3 linked regions of the Arabidopsis thaliana genome follow. The protein of the gene in region 3 interacts with the protein of the main gene of each other region in a pairwise test. Each region holds a gene or a part of one and is shown on either strand. Other genes may lie near its edges.

Region 1 (5,938 bases), on a different chromosome or scaffold from region 3:
CAGATACGAGGTCACCCACTCTCCGATCGTGGCTCCGGAGAAGGAAACAACAGTTTTCGAGGCGTATTTCGATCTGGGAATCGATGGGATCGGTCATGCTGATCGGGTGTTGAAAAGAGTCTCTGCATGTGATCCGATTCTTCCTTCGGATATACCCGATTCGAGATTTGATTTCGGAATGGCCGTTGGAGTCGGCGGCGAGATTTTACCGGAGACGCTTGAGAAAATGGTGGAGATCTGTGACGTTGTTGCTGTGGATATTCAAGCTTTGATTAGGGTTTTTGATCCTGTTGACGGAGCTGTGAAGCTTGTTGATTTGAAAGAAAGTGGATTTTATCACATCTTGCATCGAATTGGATTCTTGAAAGCTTCGTCAGACGAAGCTCTTTTCATGGATGTTGAACAAATGAAGCACTTGTGTTGTGTGGTGGTGACTAATGGTGAAAAAGGGTGTAGGATTTATCATAAGGATGATGAAATGACGGTTCCTCCGTTCTTGGCGAAGCAGGTGGATCCTACCGGTGCCGGAGACAGCTTTCTCGGAGGTTTGATTGTTGGGCTTGTTGAAGGTTTGACTGTTCCTGATGCTGCATTGTTAGGGAACCTCTTTGGTTCCATCACTGTAGAGCATATTGGTCAGCCAAAGTTCGATTTGATGATGCTTCAGGTTTGTTTTTTGGTCTCGTATTAGCTTACTGAATTGCATGCTGTGAGAGATTTGCAAATCTAATAGACAGTAGTAAGAACTTTTAGAGCCGATGATAGTGATATGCAAATGTCTTTAACATAATCCTAGCAAAAGAACTCTGTTACATCTTGCAGCTTACTTTCAATACAGCCAAACCTATATCTTGCGGGTGAACTAGAATCTGTATTTGATGTTGATAGGTTTCCAATCTGAAAATGTGTCAAATCTTCACAGTTGTTGTTTGAGATTCTGTCGAGTCACAGCTGCTGAGAGAGTCTTTTCTTGTTTTACTTCATTGTTAATCTAGGAGCAGTTTCATTCAACATAGGGTAGATGCAGGAAAAAGTGTTGTTTAAGCATTCACCGAACAATGTGGTTAAGCAATTAGAGAATTCAAAAGTATGGATCTCTTGATGTATTTGCGAGTGTTTCTGTGTATCTCTTGTAGTTGTATCTGTTGAAATGAGGGCGTTATTGGATAATAATTGAACCATTGGCTAGTGCAAGTGAACATTAAGCAAATTAGAAGATTTATAGCGTTTGTGTTTGCACTGCACAAGGATTCATCCCTTTCATCGGTTATTTCTATGTGACATATGTCTTTGTGATTTGCAGAAAGTCAAGGATGAGGTACAGAGAAGGAAGAAGCAGTGTAACATATCTAGCAGCCATAACAACGATCACAACGAGTTCCATGAGCGTCTAAGTCCAGCTCGGTTTTCATGCGTAGACTCTCAACTTCAACCAAAGTTATTGGTCAATGGTCACTCTTGTGATGATCGGTCCCTGTGAATACGAATCTTGAATCACCTTTTTTTTACTAACAAAGCTCTTCTGAGTTGTGTAAGCTTGCTTCAACACGTTGATGAATTTTGGAAATTTTAATGTATAAAACGCGTTGACCAGCGTCTTCAAACGCTCTTTCTGGTCGTTCCCGCAAAGTTTGTTTATCAACTCCGCGTTTCAAAATTCGAAATGAAGATGTCAAATTTTGTTTTAAAAGTTTTGGATAAGATGATTTGCTATTCGCATGTTGCCACATTATCTAGTTAATATAAAAACCAAAAACAAATCTGAGATAAAATTACGAAAGTCAACGTGGGAGATCTAATTTTGACTGGTGCATAGTTGAACCGGTTCAATATATGTACAATCAGGAGGAAACCGTGTTCGGTGTTTGATTCGTGCGCGTGGATTTAAAACGTGGTCACGATCAGGCGCGTGGATTGACGTGGCGATTCCGATTCCCAATCAAAAGTCTGGACGAGCAAAAAATTTCCTCTGATATTGGCATCTCCATTACTAACTCCTGATTTACGGTTAAAACGCCTCTTCCCTCTCTCCGACGCTTCTCGTCGGAAATCTGGGTTTAAGTTTCTTCTGCAGATCGGAAGAGATTCTATTGAAGCGGCGTTGACACGATTTCATCTATAATTGTACGATAATGAAGCAGAAGAACCAGCATAAGAAGAAGAAGAAGCGATCCTGCGCCGCGAAACCTTCCGGTGATGGAACGACGTCGGACGGGAACAAAAAAGATGTGGAGGAAGAGAGGAAGGACGGTGAAGGAAAGAGGGAGATAGAAAACGTTGGAAAAAATTTTATCGAATCGTTAATGGAAGCCTTTTGCTCGGTTTCAATGGAGGAAGCGATGGCTGCTTATAAGGAAGCAGGCGGAGATCTGAACAAAGCCGCTGAGATTTTATCGGATCTGGTGGAAAGCGGTGATGATCCGTCGACGAGTTCGGTGGCGAGTGGTTCTTCGGGTCAGGAAACAGCGTCTACCTCTGAGTATGGGGCAGGGTCAAGTTCTAGCTGTAGCGAAGATTTGACTAGAGATAGATGGTTTAAGGGAAGCAAGCAGAGTAGAGTTATTGCTGCTACAGGGATGGTTTCTTCTGTGATTGCGAAGGATTACTTGAAGCCAAACCCTGTGCGAAAAGAGTTTCCTATGATGGAACGGTCTAAAGAGCTCTGTGGGAACGGGAAAAAAGCTGCGGATAGAGAGAAAGCTGAACAGTTCTTAAGTTCAATGCTTGGAGATGATTGCGAGCTTAGCATGGCTGTTGTTAGAGATGTTTTGTGTGAGTATTTCTTCTTCTTAGTCAGTTAATTTTTCCATGGGAGAAGATGTTAGTAGAAAAGTATGATCCTTAATAGTTATAGGATTACGTTTTAATGTGTCCGCGATATTCGAAATATAGCCGTAATAATGTTATGAGGAGAGACTAGATTGTTCGATGAATTGACATGGAAGTATCTATTTTTTGTAGGTCAATGTGGCTATGATGTCGACATGGTAAGCAGAGATTGTCTTCAAACTTACATGGGGAAGTATTTAGTATATTGACAGGGAAGCTCCTGAAATATGCTGATACTTGCCCGACTATTTATTTTAAAGCTTAATAGCGTTTTCTTCTTAGGCTTTGAATGTCTTGCTTGACATGTCTTCTTCATCAACTGATGATTCATTGAGTGGTAAATGTTTCGGCATAGGAGTCAGCGATAGTGTAAGTGATTGTTTTTTTTGTTAATCTTCATAGATCTGTTTATTTTGTTTTCTTACACGATAAAATAAAGTGCAATCTCCTGACATTATTTAACAGCTGGCAGAGTCATCTTTTGATACTGATACTTCTGATTGTGAACTTTTCTGGGGTGGAGACTATAGTCAAAGGTACTTCTATTTGCTTCTTAGGCTTTCATCTTGTTATTGCAATTCACTGATTTTGGAATTATCAGAGTTGATTTACACGTTAGTTACAAGATAACGAGCTCTCTGCAACCTCTCCTTATCTTTTAATTAGTCCTTATCCTCTTCTATGAAAGAACAACAAACGAACTATTTCATGGTGGAGGATTCAGTTCATGAACACATGATATCTAAATTACTCATGAGACCGCCAAAACTTACATTATGATTTCTTAATTTCAACATTGTGGACGAGGTCAAAACTAAATATCTGGCCTTTTTTTCTTTTCTTTGTCTGAATGGTAGGGACTACGCAAAAGCTCTCATGAGTTCTCAAGATCCTTTTGCAACTACCCAAGGAATTGATGAGCTTGGTCTTCCACAAAAAGTGTTGGAGTCTCTGTTCAACATTCGCCAGAATCCTAAACATGAATCAAAGACAACGAGTTGGAGGAATGTGGCAAAGAAAATGCAGTCACTTGGCATTGATGCTTCTTCATCTAGTGGGGAAGAGCCTCACCCTAATACGTTTGGTACTTTACTATGGTTTCTTGATTTTAGTATTTGCGTATATAGCTGCAAATAGCATGCTCAATTTGCCATGAGTTTGCCGGCTTCGAGCTTCTGATGTATGTTGTTTTACCTGATGAAACACTTGGCAATTTTTGCTTTGGTGTCATTGGCATAAACATCTGAAGTTTTGACTGCTTGTTTGTGTTGCAACTCTTGAATCAATCTTTCTTACTCATGAATTGCATTACCAATCAATCAGTACGTGTGTTGCAGTGAAGGATGACAGTTATCATGAACTTAGAAAAGGTGCAAATGACCAGTGGAATGTTACGAAGTCCTACTATCAAAAAGTTAGTTTTACTTGCTTCCATATATCTGGCTCTGGTAGACTCCTCAACTAATGCATTTATTAATTGGTTTAAGGCTGCCGAAGCATATTCGAAAGGAGGGAGGGCTCATGCGGCTTACCTTTCTGACAAGGTGCATATCACGGTTTACATATATCATGGTATCATGGCATTTTGTTTGACAGTATGACAGAAACTTGTGTTGTTTTTCTTTTAGGGAAGAGTGGCATCTAAACAAGCTCAACGGGCTGATGAGAGGGCAAGCCAAGATATATTCGTTGCAAGGTTAGCTGTTTTGATGCATTATCAAAGTATGCTGATGCGCTTAAACATTTTGTGGTGGACTAAGCCATTGTTTATGACTATGCAGAAACAAAGGTATAGAGAATGTGGTAACCATTGATCTGCATGGTCAGCATGTTAAACCAGCAATGAAGCTACTGAAGCTACATCTCTTATTTGGATCATATGTTCCTTGTGAGTACTTAGCAAACTCAATTATAAGTCTTTTCTTCTTTAGTAGATCATCATAGTCAGATCTTGTCATCATAAAACCCGAGATAATACCTTCCTCCTAACAATTGTGAAATCATCCAGCCATTCAGACTCTACGAGTGATCACAGGATGTGGAGCTTCTGGGTTTGGGAAGTCTAAGGTGAAACAATCAGTAAGTTTCTTCAACGCCCTTTCACAGCAAAACCGGAGACAAGAATTTAGTATTGCAGTCATGGTATATGATTGTTATTTATGGATATGATCAGGTGGTAAAGCTGCTAGAAAGAGAAGGAGTTAGGTATTGTGAAGAGAACAGAGGGACACTGCTGATCAAGCTTGACGGAGGTAGTAGAGAGTTCAGTTTCTTAGACACAGAGAGTGACTCTGATGAATAAGTGATAACTAAAACTAAAGTCAGGTTTTAGCTTTAGATCTTAAAATTTATGTCGATTTTGTCTATATCTGATGCTAGCTCTCTGTTGTTAAGTAAATGTTGGGCAAAACTTAGCTTCCTTCTTTTTCCTTTCCGTATTTCACGTTATTTAAGTTCTGAAAACACTTTGTCTGACACAGACAGAATGTATATTTTTCGCTAACTCTTCTTTAGGAGTTTACTGATATATATATTATCGTGTAACTTCTATAAATTCTACAAATGTTGACAATGCAAAACGGCATAAGTGCAGAATTTTTGCTACTGAAAGACATTTGTGTATAAAGTCAGACATAGCTCGAGCTAGAAAGCAGACGAAAGAAATAAAGCCGGTAGAATCTTTCATAAAGTAACCAAGACACTCGTTTTAACACAAAAGTCATCAAGCACACTAGAGCTCACATCAATGGATGATCAGATGGAGAAAACTAGAGTTGTTGAGTTACAGGGGAAGCTCACCACTGTCTACAATCACCACTTTACTCTTAGGAGTTCCACTCTGATTTCCTTCAGCTTCGACTTTGTACACCACATCCATTCCTGTCACTACCTTCCCGAATACCACATGTCGCCCATCCAACCTGCAAACTTTCTAATCAGCAGACGGAAACAACATATCGACAATTCTATCCATAATTGAAACTCTTAAGCTTAGAAAGTAGTAACCTGCCCACACAATTGTCAAACAACTTGAAAGTAAAAGATAAGAAACTGGCTTTATGTGTTTGAAATTCAGATGATTCTGTACTCACCAGCTGGTTGTTACAGT
Region 2 (3,518 bases), on a different chromosome or scaffold from region 3:
CATCCACAATAAAATCCGATTACCTTACGACTGCTGACGGTGCGACTATAACTGCCTTCTCCCAGGAACATTCTTGGAAAATCTCACCCAACCCTACATTCACCCGCCCAAGAACATTGTATCGCAGAACGATATGGTTGATTTGTGGGATGTAAAGATCGGTAAGACTCTCGAGTCTCGACAAGACTTATGTTTCTGAGGAAGAACTCCTCAAAACCATCAAAGGTGATCAGTTAAACCATAAAAACAGTTTCTGATATCCAATATTCATCAGTCCAAACTCCAAAGTATTAAACGAGTCACTTGCATTTGCAGAGACCCAGCCTCCAATGGATTTTTTTGTGGGTTTGATCCATACGGTCCTTGCGAAGAGCGACTTTACCTCCTTGACTATAGATCCTTCTTTTGGAGTTAAGACTTCTGAGCTTTATCCTGAGGTCAAGTACACAAGTACTGTCGATGAGTTTCTTAAATAATTTGTCTGAAAAAACCCTTGTCCCTTATGTTACGTGTAGCCAGTGTTTATCCGAGTTTCGATATGGAGGCAAATCTTATTTCAAAATAGGCTTCTTATTTGATTGATACAGTACATTACATAAAAAGGTCCAAGTACATTATTTGACTGATATAAGAGAGAGACCTTGAACAACATTACCACACCAACGATCTCATAACGGTGCATAGTTTCAAGGGTTAACCTTGGGAGCCCATCCAGAGATCACATACTTTTCCTCGGTCTTAGTTTTCTCAAAAGAGTCGAGCGAGAACAGAGTCTTCATGTAGTTATGGACATGGGGAAAGCTCTCAGGGACAGACCAGCTTTTGAAATGGCCAAGAGCAACTTGAAGGTGGTAAAGCTTTGGTGCTAAGCTTAGATCCACTGCGGAAACTCTTTCTCCGGCGATAAAAGGGCCATCGTGACTCTTAAGATGGTTTTCCAAAGCTTCTAGCTCAACAAGCAAGGCATGTTCAGATCCGTCATTGGAGTCTTTGCTCTTCAAGAATGTCCCAAAAGTACCAAAAATGTTGGATCCAACAGAGGCAAATTCAGCAGGAGTCTTGAGTGGTGGATCAGGATACTTCTCCTCGAGTATACCAACGATGACGTCGGAATCAGTCACCCACTTGTCGTCGATCTTAAGCACTGGTACTTTCCCTTGAGGACTAATGTCCAAGAACCTGCATCATATATAAAACCAAAGCCACCAATTTCAAGTTCCGGTTAACACAATGCTCGCACATGAAGCCAATCCAATTTCCGGTTAACACAAAGCTCGTACCAGTTACAAGTAAAATTTCAGAGATTATGGCTAAACAAGTTCAAACTAGACCGATCTTAAGGGTTTAGGCGTGAGAGAAACTGACCACTGGGGTTTGTCAGAGAGGTTAATCAGATGGATTTTGTAGGTAAGACTCTTCTCCTCGAGTGTGAGAAGAGCCCGTTGGCTGAACGGACCTAAAACGACAAACAAACACTTAAATTAGTAAATTTACCAACGATCAAAGCTCAGAAATTAAGAATTGCAAAATCAAAAGCTTAATGCAAAACAAAAACAGAGAGAGAAAGAGAAGATGGTTACAGTCGCCGAGATGATCAGGAGCACCAACAGCAGCTTTCACACAGATTTCCAGAGCCATCTTGATTCTTCTTCCTTTGTTTGCAGAGACGGATGAATGATTGAGTTAATCAGTGAGAAGGCTTAGCTTTTAAACTGAATTATTACCATTCTCCACCCACCAGTGGGCCATTTTTACCCGATGTTTATCTTTTCTCACGTGTTATGCGTTGCAAGTGACGACGATACGAAACGACATTGTTACTGATAGGGCCATTTGATTTTTGGTCGGCAGGTTTTGGACCGTTCAATTTAGTGAAAATATAGTAATAAATTCGTACCGAATAATATAATCGGTTTAATGAAACTACTACCTGAAATATCGAATTAGATTTGGTTCATATTTCGTATTGTTTTGGTTCGATTAAACCATATTAAACCACTGTAACTGTAATTTATTGTTTCGCCGTCCCGGAATGTTCCTGTTGAAATCCATTTTCGCTGATTTTTTTTCTTCCGTCTCTTCTTCAGCTTCGACCATTTTCGTCTTCTTCATTCAGTGTTGAGTCCTCGTTTACCTGTGAGCTCGAAGAAAGTGACGATCAATGGGAACCCTAGGCAGAGCATTTTACTCGGTCGGTTTTTGGATCCGTGAGACTGGTCAAGCTCTTGATCGCCTCGGTTGTCGCCTTCAAGGCAAAAATTACTTCCGAGAACAACGTAAGATTCTGCGTAACTCTATTTTTCACTCCGATTTCGAATTCGTAAAGAGTGAGGAGTTTCGATTGGGTAATTCAGCTCACCTATTCTGGTTAGGTTAGAGATCTGGAATTGATGTCTTTGTAGGTATAGCGATTCTGGATTCGAATGGCACAAGGGATTAATTGATGTGGAATGTGTTTTGCTGCTTAGTTTTTTTTTTGTTTCCTGGTCACGAAATTTGCTTATATGTAATTGTGGTTTTCTCTGTGTAGTGTCAAGGCATCGGACACTGATGAATGTATTTGATAAGGCTCCGATTGTGGACAAGGAAGCTTTTGTGGCACCAAGCGCCTCAGTTATTGGGGACGTTCACATTGGAAGAGGATCGTCCATTTGGTATGGATGCGTATTACGAGGTGAGCTAGCTACTAAGCCTCAATGTTTGGTGTTTGGTGGTTGACTATTTTAGTGACTGAAGTTTTGTTTGAAATAGTATCTACTTCTGTATCCTTAGCTGTGTCAACTCTTACGATAGAAAATAGTGAACGAATATCTGTTTTTTACTCTTCTGGTTAAGCGATGAACAAGACTACTACTCAAAATGGAGCTTTCTAGCTTTATTGAAGGATCTTAAACAGATCATTACTACATATCGTATCTTGATGATACTGGCAGTTGCTCTAATGGGTGATTGGGTATATGATATCCCCAATCATATACAGAATGCTTTCATGTCATAACACCAGAATTAGTTGAACGATATCATATACAGATTATTGAGTTTGAGTTGAATCCTTATTGCGAGTATGAGTTGGCTAGTCTGGATTTTTATTTAATGGTGATGAAATAGGGTTGTCCTTTTTACAGAATGCTTTCATGTCATAACACATTGGTACTGTATGGCTAAGCCTGTTAGTACTTTACCAGGAAACTGGGATAACATACAATCTAAACTTGCTTTCTCTCTTTTTTTCTGCGCAGGCGATGTGAACACCGTAAGTGTTGGGTCAGGAACTAATATTCAGGACAACTCACTTGTGCATGTGGCAAAATCAAACTTAAGCGGGAAGGTGCACCCAACCATAATTGGAGACAATGTAACCATTGGTTAGTGGGAATCTCTTACTCACTGTTTATTTTGAAAATGTTTAATATGCATACATCTCCAAGAAGCATTTGGGATATAGTCTTAAATTAAATGTGTAACAGGTCATAGTGCTGTTTTACATGGATGTACTGTTGAGGATGAGACCTTTATTG
Region 3 (5,519 bases):
CATGATTATCATGGCCATAAAAGAACGGTTCCTTACGGAATATCTGCAGCATCAATATTTGACAAGTGAATAAGCAACAGCAAAGTATTAACGACTACCATTCGGAAATTCAAATGCTTGCAATAGCTTCAGCATTGAAGCTAGAGAGAAGAGTGAGGGGATTATTAGTTCTCACCATGCCAGCAAACATGCAACCAAGACTCCACATGTCTAAAGAATAGTCATAATCCTGTAGATCAACTAAAAGCTCGGGACCCTTGAAGTATCTGGCAATTAATTCACAGGTTTTTAGTCTAATGCATTTAACAACTACAAGAAGCTTTGATTGCACAGCTAAAAGTTTCAATCATTGGCATCTACGAATGACCCTCTTAGGCTTGCCAAGACAGGTGGAATTAAGCTGTGGTATCGGATATTACCTCGAGGCCACGCGAACATTATACTCTTTTCCGGGATGGTAAAACTCAGCAAGGCCCCAATCTATCAGACGAAGTTTACGCAGCTGATGATCTATCATGACATTATGAGGCTTAACATCCCTATGCATTATTCCTTGAGAGTGACAGAAATCCAATGCCTGAAATGCAATAACATCAGCTCTGGATTCCACGATAAACATTTGTATGTACGGTAAAAGTCATTTATGGTAAATACCGATACATTACCTTCAGAAGCTCATAAATATAGTACCGGATATCGTAATCAGTCAATGTTGGATACAATACTTTAAAGTCCACACTGTTGACAAACTCAAATACCAAGCTAGGTGTTTTGGAGTGCTCATCTCTAACAATATCATACAGCTTAACAATATTTGGTCCACCACATAGGTTCTGAAGTATTTTGATCTCTCTCTTTATCTGCATAACATCAAGTTTCAGCAAAATTAGCCATCTTTATGTATGCAAATTCATCAGAAATGAGTTCTACTAACTGATCACCTTCTTCTTTTTTACGGGTTTGAGGATCTTGATAACGCAACGCTCATTCGTATTGACGTTTTTGCCTTCGAAAACTTCACTGTATTTTCCTCTACCAACTTTTCTCACAACCTCATAATCATCTTGATGACTGAAGAATCACACAAAAGTATTTAAGAATCTCACACTGTTGAATTTCAAAATCCAATATTTGCTAATAGATACTTAAAACAAAGTGTCTTCAAGAGACCTAAGTCCAAACCCTAAAAAATTCCAATTTCTCTGATTTCGAATTCGATTTGGCAACAAATCAATCAAATTCCACCGAAAATTTATCAAAAAGAAGTCAAAAATCGTAAATTCATCAAAGAAAAATTCTAAAGCTAGAAGTTTTACCCCCATTGAACAACGAGAGACTCGTAGTCCCAATACTCTTTAGGACGAACAACGTTAACATCTGTATAAACCCTAGCTTTCGACATCAATTTCGATCTGAAAAAATGGAGAAATTTGCGATCGCAATCTTCTCTTTGATCGTCAGGTTTGTTTCAAGTGGACGATGATGATGACAACAGAAGAAGTGCGTTGTGCAGGATTAGAAAAAGGTTGAAGAAGAATCTCTGATACCCAAAAACCACCTAAACCAAATCGAACCGATTCAACCACACTCGAACCGAAACAAACCCAATCGGATCGATTTCAATCACACTATAACCGGACCGAATTGTTTAAACGACATCGTTTCGAAGAGAAGCCAAAGAAAAAGAAAGGAGAGAAATAAAGCAAATTCGTTACCTTCACTTTTCATTTTCTGAATAAGAGTTAAAAAAAGACATTAATGGCCTTAAGGCCTTGTACTGGATTCACAATCTCCTCTCTTCGCAACGCTTCCGCCGCCAACAACAATCTCTTCTCTCTCCTCTCCTTCTCTTCGTCGTCTCCGGCGAAGAGGAATCTTCTTCTCTCTTCGCTCCAGGACAATCTCCGTCGTTTCGCATCCAGCGCTTCTCTTTACCGTCAACATCTCCGGAATCAACAACAACAACATCAGCAACAACAGCAATCGCGCGTGAAAGAAAAATCAGAAACGCTGGCTCAGAAGATCGGTAAATCTATCCGGCGTGCCGGTGCGCCGTCGAAAGCTAGGGTTTACGCTGATGTCAACGTTGTTAGACCTAAGGACTATTGGGATTACGAGTCCCTTGCTGTTCAATGGGGGTATATCTTCAGATTCTTCTCTAATTAAACCTAATTACGTCGATTTCTAGATGTTTGCCTTTGGTTATAGATTGGTTTGGGATTGGTTGTTCTGGAATCAATGTGGAATGTAGATTTAGGGTTTCGTTTCATATTTTTGATTGATGATATAATCTCGTAAGTAATGCAGAATTGGTATCTGATTTGTTTGTATTGGTATCTGTTTTGTTTGTATATAATCTCTTGAAAATTGCTGGTCTATGTGAACTAGATTGTTGAATTGATATCTTGAGTTTGTATGGTGTTGTTACTGTTTGGTGTATTAGTGTTTGAGTTAGCTTCATTGATGCCGCAGTGTACAGGATGATTATGAGGTGGTGAGGAAGGTAGGAAGGGGAAAATACAGTGAGGTCTTTGAAGGCATTCATGCTACTGATAACGAGAAATGTGTTATCAAGATTTTGAAGCCTGTGAAGAAGAAGAAGGTGAGTAGATACAGCCGCTTGCTTGTTTTTATCTCAATTGTGCTCAGAATGAAGTGTGTTTCTGGCCCTTCACTTGGTTTGAATTATTCTCTAACATATTTTGCTTCTCCTTGACGCAGATTAAGAGAGAGATTAAGATTCTGCAGAACCTCTGCGGTGGGCCTAATATTGTAAAATTGCTCGACATTGTTAGAGATCAGCAGTCTAAGACGCCCAGCTTGATATTTGAACATGTGAACAATAAAGATTTCAAAGTTCTCTATCCAACTCTCTCAGACTATGATGTTCGATATTACATTTTTGAACTTCTAAAGGTAATTATTCAGTTTCCTGAATTGTAGACCATGATTTTCTTTGCGGCTTTGGCAATTGGCAAAAGTAATCGGTAGATATATCATAGATGTATAGCGTCATACACTGTTGTTTACCTTACTTGACTTTTGAATCCACTAGCCTTCAGTTATAAAGGGTACGAATTTGTTTCTGATGCTGTTTGTTGTTTCTTTTTAACATTTATGCAGGCGTTGGATTTCTGCCATTCACGTGGAATCATGCACAGAGATGTGAAACCACATAATGTCATGATTGATCACGAGCAGCGAAAACTTCGTTTAATTGACTGGGGTTTGGCAGAATTCTATCATCCTGGGAAAGAATACAATGTCCGTGTTGCTTCAAGGTAGTTCCTTTTGGCTATCTGCTAATCTCTCCTCTGCAAGATTCTATTTGTTGCAGTTGCTAAATTTCTGCTCATAGAGAGTCTAGATAAGAAATGTTGAAGATTGCATGCATTGAGCTCTTGAGATTAGTTGAAACATATTATCTAACTTCGTCTAGCTGATGTATACTATTATCATTTCTCACTTCATATTTGATGAGCAGGTACTTTAAGGGTCCAGAGCTGCTGGTGGATTTACAGGACTATGATTATTCCTTAGACCTATGGAGTCTTGGGTGTATGTTTGCTGGAATGGTAAGCGTTTTAAGCTAGAATTTAGTTAACTTGGTTTAAGCTGTAATGGAATGACAAGAATTCGACAGTACATTTTGGTTATTTTACCATTCCTTAAGTTAGTTAAGTGGTGAATATTGTATACTCTACTGTTTGCAGATATTCCGCAAGGAGCCGTTCTTTTATGGCCATGACAACTATGATCAATTGGTCAAAATTGCGAAGGTAACATTACAAAAGCTTTCATCATGTCTCGTCTCCTCTGAACAGATTTTACATTCCTCCAAGTTATAGCTAAAAATACGATTCTATGTATTTATAACTATGGCAGGTGCTTGGCACAGATGAACTCAACGCCTACCTAAACAAATACCGTATAGAGTTGGACCCTAATCTAACATCCCTCGTGGGCAGGTAATCCGGTTTAAAAAGTTATGAAAAACTCTAAAAACTCCAGTTTTGCGCCTTATCATTTCAGAACATTAAATTATGCACTCTTGATTTTATATAGACATAGCCGGAAGCCATGGACAAAGTTCATCAATTCTGAAAACCAGCACTTAGCAGTTCCTGAGGTACAACACTTAACTTTTCTCTATACAATTATGAAGCCTTCATGTTAAGACCAAAACACCGGATTTTTTGGACGAACATGACTCATTTGTTTTCATATACTTTTTGGTTAATGAAGGCTGTTGATTTTGTGGACAAGTTGCTGAGATATGATCACCAAGAAAGGCCAACAGCTAAAGAAGCAATGGTAAGCAACAATTTTTCTTTAATATCTTTCTAAAGATTTTCTCTTATAATTACAGATAAGTGATAGTAGAGAATATGATGGATTTTTACAGGCGCATCCATATTTCTATCCGATTAGAAATGCAGAGAGCAGCCGTACGCCGCGCAGCCAGTGATCTCGAAAACATTTGCTTGTTCAATCTTCTGATTTTTCATTTCTTTACGGATTCAAATTTGTTATAAATCGATCTGTCATTGTTTCATTCTCTCAAGTGTGCGTGTGTTACTGTTTTGCTCTTTCTCAGTGTTTCATTCAACTCATTTGAATTTTATTATATAAAAAAAAATATCCACAAGACGGGTTTCAAAAGGTTTTTCTTTCTTTTCTTCTCATTTTTAATTTTCTGGAAAATTTCATATTCTTGAGCGGGACAGGTTGGTTTGGCTTGCCGGTTTTAGTTAGCCCGTTTTGACAGCTCCGTGGAAGGTAGAAGAAGCTCGCATCGGGAGTAGAGAGTGATGGTCGGTCAGTTAGATATATAACTGTAGACATAAGAAAGCACAAGAATCTCTAATCTAATCCAAATAGTGATTAGGGGACATTAAGCACGTAATCCGATCTTGAGTACTGTGTCTGTGGAACAACCTCGACCTATCTGTCTTATATCTTTTAAGTTTAGTTTAATCTCTCTGGTTCCCTTTGTCCAAATGATTATGCAATCATCCTATATTAGTTTACAATATAGCTGTCTGTCTCTTTCTTTCTTGTTGAAAATGATGCCTTAAAAAAATTACTCATCTCTTAAAATTTTGTGAATTACGCACACGCAAAGATATTGCTGTGTCTAAAACATATGAAACCAAATATGGAAATATATAACTAATAATTGTGCAAGATTTTCAGTATATATATGCATCCATGATCCATCAATCAGTTATTTTTTTCAAATTATTGGAGAAAATCATCCACCAAAAGAGAAATAAATATTTACTTTGGAAACGATTAAAAACGTTTGATAACCGGTGTGCAGTCTTGTGAATTAAGATTATCTTTTGAGTTTTGACACCTTAATCCAAAGTGAGATTTCACGCGTATGAGTAAATGAGATTATTGAATGATGTATTCTGTTGGAATGCTTTAGATAATCAGTTTCGTGTGATAAAGATTTTCTCATTCTGGCCAAAAAAAAATAAAAAAGATTTTTCTGTTTTTCATTCCTGTTTTTA

What was found. Proteins that work in one complex are often made in the same cells at the same time.
Region 1: the proteins of AT2G23070 (region 3) and AT5G58720 interact in a two-hybrid assay, tested with the Arabidopsis thaliana proteins (one large-scale study listed by BioGRID).
Region 2: the proteins of AT2G23070 (region 3) and DHAR1 interact in a protein complementation assay, tested with the Arabidopsis thaliana proteins (one large-scale study listed by BioGRID).

The regions. Positions count from the first base shown.
Region 1 is NC_003076.8:23,719,169-23,725,106, reverse strand, and holds AT5G58720 (smr (Small MutS Related) domain-containing protein), read left to right. Parts: upstream 1-1,931; 5' UTR 1,932-2,132; coding exon 2,133-2,772; intron 2,773-2,961; coding exon 2,962-2,987; intron 2,988-3,111; coding exon 3,112-3,198; intron 3,199-3,294; coding exon 3,295-3,365; intron 3,366-3,686; coding exon 3,687-3,913; intron 3,914-4,166; coding exon 4,167-4,243; intron 4,244-4,316; coding exon 4,317-4,373; intron 4,374-4,457; coding exon 4,458-4,525; intron 4,526-4,610; coding exon 4,611-4,717; coding exon of another isoform or gene 4,718-4,773; exon of another isoform or gene 4,774-4,837; coding exon 4,838-4,908; coding exon of another isoform or gene 4,909-4,998; exon of another isoform or gene 4,999-5,002; coding exon 5,003-5,131; 3' UTR 5,132-5,412; downstream 5,413-5,938. Other genes in the region: Mik (pfkB-like carbohydrate kinase family protein), read left to right, coding at 1-667, 1,304-1,480; ROC7 (rotamase CYP 7), read right to left, coding at 5,612-5,750, 5,922-5,938.
Region 2 is NC_003070.9:6,772,776-6,776,293, forward strand, and holds DHAR1 (dehydroascorbate reductase), read right to left. Parts: upstream 1,749-3,518; 5' UTR 1,639-1,748; coding exon 1,581-1,638; intron 1,457-1,580; coding exon 1,366-1,456; intron 1,180-1,365; coding exon 687-1,179; 3' UTR 527-686; downstream 1-526. Other genes in the region: AT1G19565 (uncharacterized protein), read right to left, coding at 104-195, 304-356; GAMMA CA1 (gamma carbonic anhydrase 1), read left to right, coding at 2,162-2,276, 2,531-2,674, 3,240-3,365, 3,468-3,518. UniProt on the Arabidopsis thaliana protein: Displays a dual function. As a soluble protein, exhibits glutathione-dependent thiol transferase and dehydroascorbate (DHA) reductase activities. Key component of the ascorbate recycling system.
Region 3 is NC_003071.7:9,823,111-9,828,629, reverse strand, and holds AT2G23070 (Protein kinase superfamily protein), read left to right. Parts: upstream 1-1,731; 5' UTR 1,732-1,758; coding exon 1,759-2,138; intron 2,139-2,472; coding exon 2,473-2,602; intron 2,603-2,721; coding exon 2,722-2,916; intron 2,917-3,123; coding exon 3,124-3,281; intron 3,282-3,484; coding exon 3,485-3,575; intron 3,576-3,713; coding exon 3,714-3,779; intron 3,780-3,885; coding exon 3,886-3,968; intron 3,969-4,065; coding exon 4,066-4,129; intron 4,130-4,245; coding exon 4,246-4,314; intron 4,315-4,405; coding exon 4,406-4,468; 3' UTR 4,469-4,988; downstream 4,989-5,519. Other genes in the region: CKA3 (Protein kinase superfamily protein), read right to left, coding at 1-43, 176-266, 420-577, 666-860, 942-1,071, 1,317-1,402. UniProt on the Arabidopsis thaliana protein: Casein kinases are operationally defined by their preferential utilization of acidic proteins such as caseins as substrates. The alpha chain contains the catalytic site. Involved in the regulation of various developmental processes.